Linked DNA regions of Lepisosteus oculatus. The main gene of each other region encodes a partner of the protein of the gene in region 2 in a complex. Links are inferred from orthologs where the notes say so. Each region holds a gene or a part of one and is shown on either strand. Other genes may lie near its edges.

Region 1 (7,586 bases), on a different chromosome or scaffold from region 2:
TGGCACCCAGTCTGCAAAACAAGTACCTCACACCTTTGTCACATGCGATTCTTTTTTACAAGAGAATGCACAGGGCTGTCCAACTGAAACAAAATGGTTTAACTTATCTCATAGTTTCCTATATATTTCATGAGGCTGTTGCCAAAGACACCCTGGCAAATCAAAGTATTATTGCCATCAAGCTGAATTCAGTGAACATTGAGGAGATCTAGAGAAATGTTAGCGTGCTCATGGCCTGCCTAGCAGGACAGCAGGACAGCAGCTGGCCGAGATCTCTCACACGCTGTGCGGAGTGCACAGCGCCTGAACAATGGAGCACTCCATCCCTGTAATCCCCAACTCCCTGTTGGAGGGGCATACAGTCAGTAGGGAATGAAAAATGTCCTGGCTGATCCCCGGCTGGTACAATAGCCGGAAAGCAGGCCTGTGTGTCAGGGACAGCCAGCAGTCAGCGTGTGCACACAGACGCACACGACACACCGCCACCCAGCTCAGACTCCACCTTCGACACAGCAGCCCTCACGCAGTCCCCGAGGCCCAGGCTTCTTAACCCCAGCGACACTCAACACAATCGGAACTGATCTACTGAACAATAAAAAGTCTGGTTCTCTGGCACTAAACGACTGAACACTCTTCTGAACGGCACTAGGCTCCAAGCTACTGAACACCCTTCTGAACAGCACCGGGGGTTCGAGCTACTGAACACCCCGCAGAACAGCACCTGGGCTCTGAGCTACTGAACACCCTTCTGAACGACACCAGGGCTCTGAGCTACTGAACACCCTTCTGAACGACACCGGGGCGCTGAGCTACTGAACACCCTTCTGAACGACACCGGGGCTTCGAGCTACTGAACACCCTTCTGAACGGCACCGGGTCTCCGAGCTACTGAACGTGCTGCAAAACAGTACTCGAAACCATGTAATACAGCTACAGTACAGTCATAACAACCTGATCTGCAGTTACAGGCAGTTTTCGGAGCTGGGGAATGTGGGGTCAGCCTTCCTCGTGACACAGTGAGGCTTCTCTGCCCAGAAGTGCTGACAGCCACAGTTCAGGGGAGGAACTGTGCACTCGATTCCCACTGAACGCCTTCCTTCCTGGCATGCTCTCACCACAGCCACAGCTTGTCCAAACAGACTGCAGCCACCAGCCAGCAAGATTAACCCTGTGTGGCCAGCTGACCACTAACTCCAAGCTCTGCCACAGGCTGAACAACACAGGAGGCGGCTGATCGAGGCCCAGACGAGCTGCCGAGATCTCTCTTCCCCTCTTTGAAAGCCATCCGGTTATGGGTTAATATATGTGGTTCAAATACCTCATATCTTAGTCTATGTGATCTGTAGCTTCAAACACTCAATCCTCAAATTTGCACAATACTGAAATTAAATAGTGATTAGATATTATTGTCCCTTTAATCTCCCAGTGCAGTGGCTTAATTTGTGTGCAGAACGAAACAAGAGCAAATTGACAATCAAATGGCATGATAGTGAATGAGATAGACTCTAATCTAAACAGTTACTTCAAACATTTCATCACTACATTTGGACAATGTTGTCGCCAACTGTGTACCAAATGAACAGAACTCATTCTTGCCCTCTCTGTATCGGTGTCGTACGCTTGCAGGTTGTCAGCGACTCAGCTCAACTACAGGGTCCTAAACACCCCACAATGCAGAGAACTGAAAAGCTCAAGGCTGGTGCAGACTGTCTGCTGATCAGTGATGGAGAAATCTTTACAACAGAACAGTGCCTTTCAGCACCTGGGAACACCAGGACAGCCCCTCCGATTCACGGTCAAGACCAAGCAGTCACGCCAATCAAGCCAGAGGCAGACAGACCAGCACATTCAGAGGCAGCTAGATCGCGAGCCAACGGCACGGGAGAAAGAAAGCAAAGTGGGCAGAATTCCTTGCCCTGCGACGGGCGGGACTCACTGACCCAGTGTCGCGGGGTGCTGTCTGGGGAGCGGGGCTGGTACCTCTGCAGAGACACCCCGCCATCCTCCCCCAGCAGCTCCAGCCCCAGACTGGGGGCCTCAGGGGTGCCAGGGGGCCAGGACAGCAGCGAGGCCAGGGGGTAGTGAGAGATCATCGGGCGCCGGGGGGAGGCAGGCATCCAGGCAGGGAGTCTCACTGACTCTGCACTCTCCCCTCTCCCGGCAGACCGGGCATGTTCCAGACTGGGATGTCGTCGGCGGCAGGCAGGCAAAAAATCAGTAATCTTCTGCCTTCAAAATGGAACCTCTTCGCTCTGCGCCGAGCTTTTCTTTGGGCACATGATCCCCGTGAGATATCCCCTCTCCTCTCCGGATGCAACTGCTCCTCCACACTCCTACGGAGCCGGTTCGTCAGGAGGAAAGAAGACGAGAGCGTCTCGGAGCTAGCCGTGCCAGTACTGGGGGCCAGTCTCCGGCTCCGTGCCGATCCCAGTCGGAGCTCCGAGTGCAGATTCCAACTCCTGCAGGTGCGACGAGCTAGGCGGCACTCTGTCCCCTCGGTGATCCTCTGGACCTGTACTCCACTCTGTGCGGGTCAGGAGTCCCAATCCGGCCAATCTCTGCCCCCCTGTGGCGTGCTGGTCTGCAGTGGGCTGTACCCAGTCTGCCCAGCCGGTGTTCCCAGAGGCAGTGTCCGCCTGCCTCCAGTTGCTGGTGGCTGATCCGGATGCGGACCCTGGCTAGTCTAGCTGGGACCCCTAATGCTCACTGGCTCTTTCCAACCCGAGGAGCTCTGCTGGCTGTCTTCAGGACCTCAGTCCCAGTTTCCCCCCCCCCCCCCAGTGGTCTCTCCCAGTCTCTCCTCTCGCAGTCTGCTCTGGTTTCAGCGTTGCCTACGGCCGTGCTGCTGAGGGGTTCCCTTCTCCCTCCAGGCTGAGCAGTGAAGTCTCTGGAGGGCTGTCCCGTAATTATTCCTCTCCGTCTGCCACCCCCCCCCAGCTCTCCCTCTGAGTGGGTGTGCGTTCCCGAGCGGAGCCTGCTGAGCGCCCTCTCGCAGTCCTGCCTCTGCCACAGACCTGGGATAAACACTGTTGTCTCTCTCTCTCTCAGAGCTGCCAGTGCAGGGGGGTGGAGAGAGAGGCAGACCCGCCCCTCCCAGCGTCCCAGCAGGCTGGCTGTGAGCGCGGAGGCTGAGCGCTCCGGGGAGGACAGGATCGTCCTGTGGGCTCCTCTGGCTGGGAGCGGGTCTGCAGACCAACCGCTCAAAACTCTTCTTGACCCATTGAGCCCCAAGAAGAGCTGGCAATGATCAGCTGCCAGGGAATAAAGGAGCGCTGCCTGTGCTGTGCATTATTAGAAGGCACGCTGGTCCAATTGTGCAATCAAGCTAAAGTGTCTGTTTGAGATAAGAACTGGTTTGCAGTTGATTAGGACTTGCACATGAAGCCCAGAAGGGGGTTTGTGGAGAATTCCTTTATTCTCCTGCCTTTTCCTGCAGTGCTGACTAATCGATTGTGCAACTTGTCTTCAGTTTTAAGTGTAAACTCAATATCTTCCTAAAAACCCAACAGAAAAAAATTAAATTCAATAAATCAGCTAATAGATTTGTCAACCTTTACTAGCTTAATTAACTAATTCATCTACCATACAATTAAAGAACTGAATAACAATATATTATTTCCTTCCTATTTTGGACACGACCCTAATTAAACAACGATAAACATCGTGCTAGGTTTTTATTCACCCATTAACTATATATCAGAACATTTTCATGACCTTTTTCATTGCTTCCCTACAGTGGATAGAAGATGTAAATAATGCGTCAACATTTACACCCAACTCTTTCTCATAAGCTTCCTCTGCAGGTCTGAAGTTCTGCTTCCTGTTTAGAACACACTGCACCTTTCTGCCACCTGTGTAGCCAGAAAACCCACACAGACCTCCGGAAGAACATGCAGACTCCACACAGACAGTGCACAAAGCCAAAATTGAACCCAGGACTCTAGAGCTGAAATGCTACAACGTAAAACATCAGGGCAGCCAGCTAGGCGTTTACCAAACTATTGTGGAAGTATTACTTAAGACTAAGACATCTCTAGTCATCTAGAGAAACAGCAATACTATTAGAAACTGTTACAAAGATGCGGCTAGTTTTGATTCTGCCCTATTGCACTGCCAGTTAAGTTAAAAACACTTCTTTAAATGCAACAAAATAGAACACTCAAGCTCCAGGCACAACAAGGAGCAGGTTCTCTACATTCAGGTTTTTAATACAGAGAGCACCTTCTGCAAAATGAGAAAAAAACATTTCACTGACTCGGTGCATCTTAGCAATGTCTCACATACTGAGTGGGCGGTGAAGTTCAGCAGAAAGCAAGTTCAGAGAAATAATGAAGAGGACACGTCTACATTAGAGAGCAAATCAGAAAACCTCCTAACTGCCTGGCTGGAGCCTCTTCATTTACACAGACGCTACGCGGTTTGCTGTGTGACCGTCAACTGTACAGCTCTCCGAGTCAGCGATGTTCTGCGAGGGCAGTTACAGATTTATGGGCTCCTTGTTAAACAACAGCTAAGGGGAAACGGGCTGCACTTTGGCCCTGCTTCACTGGTACTGCAGGTTAATGCTAATTCCACATCCGGATATCTGTCCGTGTGTGTACAGTACCATTCAAGTATCACATGCATGGAGAATAACAGAGGTCATTCTTCCTCAGCAAAATCCCTGACATCTTTCCCATCAACCATCTTCATTTATGACCCACAACAGATACAGATCTCTCAACATTATGGCTTCCTTTTAGTAGGACCTTTGTACAGGTGTGTCCGTTGCCTGATCAATGCTCTTATGGTGGCTTTAGTCCGTTTTCTCTGAGTCTCTCATGGTTTCTTTTTATTCCTATATCATTCCTACACTCCCGAAAGACTTGCAACTCCAGTTTTCCCAAAACCGGGAGAGTGGTTCAACTATTCTCTGGCGTAGCTTTGCAGTATTTTCAGTGTGAGGAAATGGCTGCCCCTTCCATCAAAAACTTCTTCATGATATCTGTATTATACTTTAATAAAGAACAGATCTGTTCCCTCTCCTCTCTGCACATGGTTGCTTCTGAACACTAGTGTGTGAGACATGGGCGTCTGTCATTCTGTGGCTCTCTGTGAACCCAGGTACAGGAATCTAGGCTTGTGGGTTTAAAAGGCAGCTGATTTTGGGGAGCTGTCCCGGTTTAAGGTTTCTGCGTCTCCACAGGGGGGCGAGGCGGGCGAGCAGCGGGCGGGGGAACATGCAGCTGTAAGGGCAGGCCTGTGTGAAACGGCTCTGTTCAGGGGTGCTCAGCTGGAACCAGGCGGCACTCCGACACACAACGCACAAACAACTTACACTTCACCCTACCACAGAGTCAAAATCAACCACGCACTCGCCTTCATTGCAATGCACTTGGGCTTCGATAACACTACGACAGGCCGGCCATCCAGCCAGAATACAGTACGTACACTCTCAAACACGCAAACACACACACGACCACTGGCCATGGCCTCTGAGGCCGGGCCCAGCCAGGTGAAAGGAGCTCAGGTCTAGCTGCGAGATCGCAGTTGACTCAGCCTCCTTCAGCCCTGCAGGGGACAGTGTGAGGAGACTGGTCCAGAGAGACACAGACTCACAGATTGAGGAATCATGAGAACAGGGCTGCGCCTCGATTTCATTTCATTTTGGGGGCTACCACAAGACACGACTTTCTAAGAGTTCAGATAACTACAGCAACTCCTGTCCTCAAAGTTCAGAGGCTGATTTGTATTACACCTCCAATCCTAATGACCTAATTGCACAAAGTGTTTTAATAAGAAATCAAATATGCAAAGCCAAAGAGATTTAGAAGTTGTCCTAACAAAGGGGGTGTTATACATCACCTTATCTACTACTTGCAATGTCTTACAAGAATAAAATTAATACCAACAGCGTCTGATGTAACTGAGGATGGGAACCAAAGCAGAGAACTATATGGACAACGTTTTTGAACTGGTTTGATTAATGATCAGGTATGTGCTTTAACATAGAATTTCAAGGTCGTAGTAAAGGAAAAACTATGATGCAGTGCACAAAGGTTGGTTACTGTGCACTTGTAATTCATTTGCAATCCCTCAATTAAAGTATTAGCAAGACATCGATATATTTTCTTTATTGATCTTACCGCCTCAGATGTGCATAAATTATCTTTACTTACCTGTTGAACATTTTAAAAACATAAATGGCCTAACTGCATTTATCAAAGCTTTAACAATCATTTTGTATAAATGGTACAAAATGCACTGTCCCAGAACTGGACTTCCTGTGCTAAAGTCAATGAACAGCCACATCAGAGATACAGATGTTAGACCTCTCACTCCAATCGGAAATACTGGACTGCCCAGCAGCACGCAGTCCTTACTAATTGCCCAGCCAGTTAAGTTAATCACTGACCATCACCATATGCAACCTCACCCACACTATTCCAGGATTAGTTAGTGCCCCAGGTAGCCCTTGATTTCTTCATGCAGTCTATAGAGGAATGCAGAGTGCAGTCTTTCCGCTTACTTGTTAAGAGCTACTTTGCTATAAAAGTCTTTATTAAGTCCAATAAACTGTTAGAAACAAAACCCTCACAAATGAGTAGGCCCATACATCAAACCCATCCTCACACATTACTAACTGGGCTGTCAAGCTAAGCAACAGGAAGTGAAGGGGGAAGACTTATGGTGTTGCGTAGGCTTCTGAGCACAGATCTTTGTCGATGGGCACTGTGCGACAGCAGATTCAGTCCGTCCTCTTTGAGCAGAGCTGACAGAAAAGCGGTTGTATTTCTGCAATATCTAGCGAGGCAGTGTTGTATTTAAGCCCAGCGAACAACATGAACTGAGGCATAGGAGAACCCTGGAGATGCTCTCACACAGGAACAGGACAGGAGGCACAGCGAGTGACTGAGACACTGGAGCTGCACAACTGCCCAGCTCATTCCAAGGCTAAAAGCAATATTCAGGAGTGACTGAGTAGTTAGATTTTAATCTTTTTTGCATCTTTCTGCCCAGCTCTCTTAACTTCCTAAGAACATAATTTAGGGGGGAACTTTGGCCAATCTAGCCTGTCTGAAGCCCAGCAGCTAATTGATCCAAGGATCTTATCCAGCTGTTTCGTGAAAGAAACCAGGGTATCTGCTTCAAAGACATAGCTGGGCAGCTTGTTCCATACCCCCGCCTCCCTTTGTATTAAGAGGGGCTTCCTGGTCTCGGTTTTTAATACAGTTTCACCATACGCTTGTATCCCGAGGCCTCTTTCACTGTTGATGCCGAGTCATTTTTCACCCTCTCCTTCTTCCCCTTCGTCTCCGACTGTGTCCTCCCTCTCCTTGCCTTACGGTAAACCTTGTTCTCTCCCACATCCCTTCTCCCCTCCCTCGGATTCAACAACAAGGTTTCAAGTATTCTGTTCCTTTCATCCCCCTCCCTCGGCTCTCTTTGCCGTTTCTCCTTGTTGTTTTTTCTCTCCTCTCTCCCGGCGTGTTTTCGTCTCTCCCCGCAGCCACAGCCTGCTGACACAGCGATCCTGCCCCGCGGTCTGGGCCGGTTTACACAGCTGGCTGCACTCCGCCAGCAGCGCAGACCAGAAACACGCACAC
Region 2 (7,830 bases):
ACAACCATTAACATTAGCGTTCAAGACTTTTTCAATTTGCATATTTTTCCAACTGCGAACAAATCCTATTCCATTTCCTTGTCCTAGATCAAACACCAAAGGGAAGGGTTTTGCAGTGCAGCTTGCTATATATCTGTGGCCATCTTCCTTTCAGAACAACAATGCAGAATGAAGATTAATCAAAATCACAAAAGCCCAGATGGGCAATGGTAAAGTGATGTGCTCTCTAAACACAATCACGACAGTAAACACAAAGGAATTATGCAAGAGTCTGCAGGCAACTTGGGACACAATTCTAATTAAAAAAATGATTCTTTTTGAAGATACTGCATCAAGGGGTGCATGGGACGAGGCAGCTAAACACAAATTGTGTAACTGTACAATGCTTAGCAGCACCCATGTGATTATCCATTGCTGTGTTAAAATAAAGCACTCAGTTTTAAGGGTTTCTATGGAAAACTTTACGAGTCTTCGTTCGCCTTACCCATAACAGCTTGGATGTAAACAAAAGTTTAAGATGAACAGGATTATTTAGTACAAAACAAGCTAAAATATGCAAAGCTATTTAAGAACCATATTATCACAACAAATTAAGAACACACAAAAGATGTGGAGGATCAGATATCATATCAACCTCCCCAGTTCATTCCATTCCCCCTACTCAGTGCAGTTACAACTGTTACTCTATTGCGAAGACATAGTTTCACCCACTTGTGATCTACAAAGGCAACATTTTCATGATGCAGAATTTGAACAAGCTGTTAAAAGCTCGAGAAATGTTAAGTACCAAACGTCTTTCCGACACCCAGTTAAGGAACAGAAAGTCCGTCTTCTGCCAAAATCTGCCTTGTGTCACTAACGGGGGAATTTTAAAGTATTTTCTACCAACTGGGTAGTTCATCGCGTTTGAGTCAACGGATAAATGTTAATTAAAAGAAACATGCAATAATAGATCTAACGGGTTTTTTTATATAACGTACAATATCCTTAACCAGTGTTAGTGCTTCAAGTTAACATGTGCAGACTACCAGTCTCAACAAAATTGAGATTCCAGCCCTGAAACTGGAATCAGCCCCCAAACTCCGTAACTGTTCACATATCCGTATACATTTACTGCGTATTTTGAAAACAAAAACGTTATGCATCTTAATATTAACACATTAATTTACACTCCAGAGTAGGCAGCTAACCGTCTGCTCCACTATCACAGCAAAGTAAAAAACAAATTACTGGGTTAGCCTAGTTTAAAAATCATTCTAAATATTTAGGAATTTCTAAAAAAAAAAACACCACCACCAACACTTAAAGCAGTGTATTCACCTTACGTTTCACACGCCTGTTCATCAGCTATTAACACAGACATAGCAAAGTGACCCGACCCTAAAGTGATATAAACTGTAGCAGTTGTGTTGGGTCTGCAAATTTCTCCCCCAAAGCAGCTGAATCCGCTCCCCACCTCTGAACACGCACGGCGCCAGCCCGTCCTCCTGTGAAATTAATGGCCTCTGGTCGCCGTCAATGAAATAAAACGGGGCAAGGTCCACACGGATCTAAGGCCAGTTTCGCCGTCCTCCCCTTGGCGTGAACACCGCGCAGCGCTGCTCGCCTGGCGGTTCCTAACGCGCGTCGGGGTGGGCGCACAACAGGCCCGTGGGTGTGGAATACGTTAACACCGCGGGTTTAAAAAGAAAAACAAAACTAACACACACACACACAAATCGCGTTTGGCCGAAGGAGCCTCGGGAGAGGGGCTGCGCCGCGCCGAGCTCCATCTGCATTGCAGGGCCACGGCCGGCGAGATGGGCGTTGTGGTGTTTCTTTCACCCTTTGCCACTTCCAGCTCGATTGTCCTCGGGTACGTGTGCGATACCCATGTTGCCCCCCCCACCACCACCAAAAAAAAAAAAAAAAGAAACGTGCACTTTTTTTTTTAAAGGAAACAGCCGTTCAACGTCAGCTGGTCCAATTCAGGGTTCATTAGCCACATATTTGATCTTTTCTTTTTTTTTTTTTACCTTTTGCCTCAGGAGTTCCGCGTCCGAAGTGTCAGAAAGAAGTATCTCGTTTAGTTGCTACAGCCCTTCCTTCTGTAACGATACAGGCATCTTTGGCTTCAGTCTTTTTTTAAAAACGTGACTCGGGTCTTCATCGCGCCGAATGTAAAAAAAAAACCAAAAACCCCCCTCAAACGATAGAAACTGCGGACGGCACACAAAAATCAATTAAACTTTTCTTTTTGGTTCCTTGTTCGGCCTGACGCCTGCCTGCCCTCAGACAAAACTGGGCGGATACTTCACATCCGAGAGCTCATTTCAAACACCACTCACTTACCCAGAAAGCAAATGGGGAGAGGCCAGGAAGGAGTCCGGCTTGCTCGCTCGGTTTCTCTCCTCGGGTTTCCTTCCTTCGCGGCGTTTTCGGAATTATTTCACCATTATTCTTTCAGACTGGACGGGGAGCTAAGACACCACAAGACGAGGAGTCCCGCATTAGCCCCAGCCCTCCCGGCGGTGCAGTTAAACCAGTCCCAGTTCACACAGACCGCTTCACTACTCCCAAGGACTGGCAGAGGGCGTTACAGGCGATTACAATTTGTGAAACGAGACCTAAAAATAGAAATCCAGTATCTGCAACGAGTCCCGACTTAAAACATCGCTTATCGAGAAAACAAGAGGCTTAAACGCACGTCTCTGAATTTGTGCGTTTATTATTATGATAATAATAGGATGTCAAGAATAATACATGCTTTTACTCTTGTGAAACGGCTGACTTGTTCAAGGGAGCTCCCCCCTCATTTGTACGGAGTACGGCTAAACCATACCTCATGGGAAAACAACGTGGCTTGAAACAACACTTTAAATGACAAAAGCAGGGCAAGGTACGTTTCAGAAAGTGAAAAGACGCGATTTTCTACCCCACTTACCAAAACGCACAACTGTATGTAACGATTTTACTAGGCTAGAGCACAAGCAATTCCCAGCCACCTCTAACCTCTGCCAAATCTGTGTAAACACTGAACAGACCAGCAGCAGCAGCACAGCTTAAATAGGCTCTATAAATACACTGCTTATGCGCTTTAACTACGTCACCGCCGAGAAGGTGTCTGATTTGGCGTTTCTCTGTCAGTTACGCAATGCCCGGATGACGTCAGTACACACCGTAGCAATGTATTATTGCAAATCTTTACAGTGTGTGAACTGCGGTGAACCTGTCTGTGAGATATTAACCCTGCCCTGGACGAATAATGGCAGGAGGCGTTAAATAGCACATGATGATCAACCGAGATACTCTTTTTCTAACCTCTTAACCATTAATCTTTCCTTTGCATGAATTTCGATACACAAACACCTGCATTTTTTAATCGCTAATTTAGTATATTGTATTATTTTTCGATTGCAAGGTGGAACTGGGAATTTTTTGCTACCATAGCACCGCAAGAATTCTTTAAAGGGTAAAATATGATTTCTCTCTATTAGAAGGTACAGTGAGAGAAAATACCCTGTTCAATGGCAGTCCTTACCGATATGCAGTGAGCCAGGTGAGTCTAGACCCTGGGCAGGTCACTGAAGAAAACCCATGTGGAAAAACTGTAGGGAGAACATGCAAACACCACACAGAAGGTCCCTCAGATCCTAATTGAAACCAGGACTAGTGACACAATACTGCTGACCACCACATCACCATGTCACCTGTGTTAGATAGAAATCCCTAATACCTATTGCATGCAATTTGACCCTGCATGTTGTAAAGCAGTGACTGAGCTTTTCAAAATAGTCAAGTTGTTGAACCTGTGAAATATCTGGTTAGAAGTGAATTTAGAGAAAACTGAATCAAAACCTTGCCTTTTCCTTTACATTTTCTATCTGGGCTCTCAACATCGCAGATTAGTGATTGTGGAGTAACTTTAAGTCTTGGAATTTGCGGGGTGCTATTCAGTTCCTACCTCTGCAAGAGATAAGTCCACTGAGCTCACAGGCACTCTTTCTGATATGGTCTGGTTTCTGTCTTTTCATCTCTATTCTTCATTGGAATGCAGTTATGTGCTAAGCTGCACTGTCTAATTATCCCCCCTTGTGGCAAAATTATTTGACTTTTTTTTTGCTGCTTTCCAGTGGATGACATTCACCCTTGCCCATGCTTTTCCTCAAGGAGTGTGCAAATTCCATTTCTGAAACACGCAAAGGGACAAAATGCCTTCATAGCCATGCTATACGTTTAATAGAAAACACATCACTTCATATTGGAATCAAAATGCTGATCTGCAGTGTCTTTATTCTGCTGGAAAGCATATGGCGTGGTTCCTATACATAAGTCAGCCTGCATTCGACATACTGCACTGCACTACTTGGACATAATGTATTGCATACAGCCTGGACACATCACAGCTCTATTTATATTGAGCTCTGTCTGAGTTTATTTTATTCCATTTCTATTGCACAAGTATGTATTATTATGTAGCCTTATTTTATAACGTTAATTTTGTGATTTTTACCCCCTCCCCTCCAGTGAGCGTGCAGAAAAGACATTTCATTGCCAGCAACTACTGCTGCACACTTTATTGTTGTGCATTTGATACATAAATGTTGATTGATTGACAGCACAGTATCCACATGTGGATTGTACAGAGTGTGCAATATCTACACTCGTCTTCAAACACATAAGCCACACTCACCCATTCTTGCAAGGTGTCAGGGTGAAAGAGTGTCACTTTCAATAATGTGAGTGTGTAGTCTGTTCAGGTCATTTTGTGTGATCCTAAGTTCCTCAAAAAGTATTCAATAAAGAGAAAATGTTCAACTCTAAATGCACTTCTTCCTACAAATTTTAATTTGTGCACTTGCTTCATTTTTGGGGTCAAATAATGCCATTAGAATTGCTTTGTAAACACCTTTCCGCTGCTGTTGTTGTGGTTCACAAAGTTTCAATAACAACAATACACTTAAATAATAATAAATACATTTTAAATCCCAGAAAGGGTAAGAACATCAGAAAAGTTGTAAACGACTGGAAGCCATGCAGACCATGTAGCCCACCTGGATGCTACTTAACTGATCTAAGGATCTCTTCGAGCTCTTTGTTGAAAAAGAATGTATCAGCTTCAACAACATGGCTGGGCACAGCAGCTTCTGAGTAAAAAAGAGCCCTCCTGTTCTCAGTTTTAGATGCACTTCCATGTAGTTTTCTCACATGTCCACTCGTTTGTTCTTCACTGTTTTGTGAAGAAGTCCTGAGTTGACTTTATCAGTGTCATTAAGGATTTTGACCAGGTCTGCTCTCATCAAGATATTAAAGGTGGTGGGGTTGTGGTGCAGTGTGGCGTGGTGGCTCTGTGGTTAAGGATCCGTGCCTGTGGCTGGATGGGTGCTGGTTCGTATCTTGTAGCTGGCAGAGGAATCCTACTCTGTTGGGGCCCTGAGCAAGGCCCTTTACCCCAACTGCTCCAGTGGTGCTATATAAATGGCTGACCCTGCAGTGTGACCCCGAGGTTCTCTCCCTGTCTGTGTGTCTCATGGAGAGCAAGTTGGGGTATGTGAAAAGACAAATTCCTAATGCAAGAAATTGTATATGGCCAATAAATTGATCTTATCTTCATCTGAAGGCTTTTTTCCTTCAGCCCATCAGCCCATCAGTGCAAGGCATTCATTTTAGCCCTGGAAGGGTTATGGACTAATTCCAGAGCAGCAAAATCTTTTTGTACCATGTTTAAGAATTCTATGACAACGTTTTAAAGAATATTTACTAGTGGACAAACGTCACATAACATCACCAGATTTCATTTCTAGGTTTTTCATGACATATCCTAATATTCTGTTTCTATTGCCTGTCTATATTTGTCTACAAGATGTTTCAGAACCAAATGTCTTTTCATTCATTTAAAGCTTGTGTACAATATCAATATAACATCGTACAACTTTAAAAACCTAGATGTTTAATGAGGTGTTTTGAATTCTTGACTCCCTTTGCTTATTATCAATGATTTGAAGTGATATTAAGTCATTTCACTTTGAAGTGAAATTAGGTGCATGAGAGGAGAAGCCCAGTTCATTAAAATAAATGAATACTGCTTCAACGTTGAAAACAGCATTTATTGTACTTACAGGCCTACTGGAATAGCAATGCCAGAAATTATTTTAAGCATTTTTTGTATGAGATAATGAGATTAATATGAATGATAAGTACAATATAAATGTGTTTGATCGTAATAAAACAGAAACATACTTTGTGCTCAACCCAGTGATTTCAAGTGACCATGCAGTTAGTACCGAGATATTAAAATGCTCCTTTGAGGCAATAATTGGTCTAAACTTTTAGGTTGTATTGGCCTTGTGTTCTGGTTCGATGTCTTTCTGCATCGTGAAGTGCTGCCCAATATGTATGGAATCATTTCTTCTACCTAAGCAGACAAAATGTTTCTGTAAACTTCAGAATTCGCTCTGTTGCTGTCATTAGGTACATAATCAAAAAAATGAGTGAGCCAGTTCTGCAGGTGGTATCCCCACTACCTCCACCATGCTTCACAGATGAGACCATAATCTTCAGAGAATCTACGGTTACTTTTTTCCACTTTTTATAACTTTCTATCATTATGTTAAAAAGTTCATCACAACTTTGTTACAAGACTCATGCCTCATCTTTTTACTTCTGAGTAAAATATAATCTGTCTTTTTTTGGTCTTGATACTGATGAGTGATTTACATGTGGCTTAGGCTTTGTAATTCTGCTTTCCTACAAACTGTAACTGTGATACCTTCTCCCCTGGACTCTGCAGACTGCCAGCAATTTCACTAAAGGCTGTTAAAGGGTTTTTCTTGAGAGCTCTGATGATTTTTCCATTAACAAATTGCACATATTTGTCTTGGCTGACTTCTTCTTTGCTAATTGGTAATTAAACCCATGGTCTGTTTCTTCAGTAGATTCTACAGTACATTGTGAATTTTGGTGTGCCCATTATTGTTTCAAATATTGACTTTAAAATGCTGATTCCAAACATTGACAGCCAAGCAAAATACAGTAGTATAATAAGATGTTCACAGTTCTGTTATGAGCCTAATTGCCCAACAGCTTACAGCTGACCAACAAGAGACACCAGCCTGCCAGTTGTTCCAATACTTTTTTCTCCTTCAAATTAAAGGGGTTCAACGAGGTTCTAATCAACAGCTATGTCATCCTACAACCCATAACTGATAGCCCACTGCTGCTAAGCAGGTGTGAGCTTGGTCAGTACTTGGATGGAGACCTCCTGGGAAAAACTAAGGTTGCTGCTGGAAGAGATGTTAGTGGGGCCAGCAGGGGGTGCTCACCCTGGGGTCTATGTGGGTCCTAATGGCCCTGTATTGTGATGGGGACACTTTATTGTAAAAAGTCACTGTCCTTCAGATAAGATGTAAATCCAAGTTCCTGACTCTCTATGGTCATTAAAATTCCAAGGTGTTTCTTGAAGAGAGTAGGGGTGTTAACCCTGGTGTCCTGGACACATTTCTTATTGGTCATCATCATCATCAGTCATGGCCCCCAAATAATCCCCATCTCTGAACTGGCTTCATCACTCTGCTCTCCTCCCCACTGATAGCTGATGTGTGGTGAGCATCTGGCGGACTATGGCTGCCATCGCATCATCCAGATGGGGCTGCACACTGGTGGTGGTGGAGGGGAGTCCCCATTACCTGTAAAGCGCTTTGAGTGGAGTGTCCAGAAAAGCGCTATATAAGTGTAAGAAATTATTATTAACAAAATAAACATATTTAACTAATGTTACCTATGTTTGATTCAAATGGGGTAGAGCTTAATTGACTTTGATAATAGATTATATTATTTTTTTAATAAACAAAA

What was found. The genes of interacting proteins can lie anywhere in the genome.
Region 1: the proteins of kras (region 2) and rgl1 are in contact, whole or in part, in a crystal structure (PDB 7SCX), measured with the Homo sapiens proteins. The link is inferred for Lepisosteus oculatus from reciprocal best matches to the Homo sapiens genes KRAS and RGL1. Residues at the interface, in NP_001356715.1 of Homo sapiens: Ile24, Gln25, Glu31, Asp33, Pro34, Thr35, Ile36, Glu37, Asp38, Ser39, Tyr40, Arg41, Leu56, Tyr64, Met67; in NP_001284600.1 of Homo sapiens: Ile651, Arg653, Asn660, Gly661, Asn662, Met663, Tyr664, Lys665, Ser666, Ile667, Met668, Lys685, Asn687.

The regions. Positions count from the first base shown.
Region 1 is NC_090704.1:31,214,470-31,222,055, reverse strand, and holds the start of rgl1 (ral guanine nucleotide dissociation stimulator-like 1), read right to left. Parts: upstream 3,023-7,586; 5' UTR 2,118-3,022; coding exon 1,941-2,117; intron 1-1,940. UniProt on the Homo sapiens protein: Probable guanine nucleotide exchange factor.
Region 2 is NC_090702.1:51,788,038-51,795,867, forward strand, and holds the start of kras (GTPase KRas), read right to left. Parts: upstream 3,014-7,830; 5' UTR 2,924-3,013; intron 2,607-2,923; 5' UTR 2,332-2,606; intron 2,144-2,331; 5' UTR 2,016-2,143; intron 1,877-2,015; exon of another isoform or gene 1,457-1,876; intron 1-1,456. UniProt on the Homo sapiens protein: Ras proteins bind GDP/GTP and possess intrinsic GTPase activity. Plays an important role in the regulation of cell proliferation.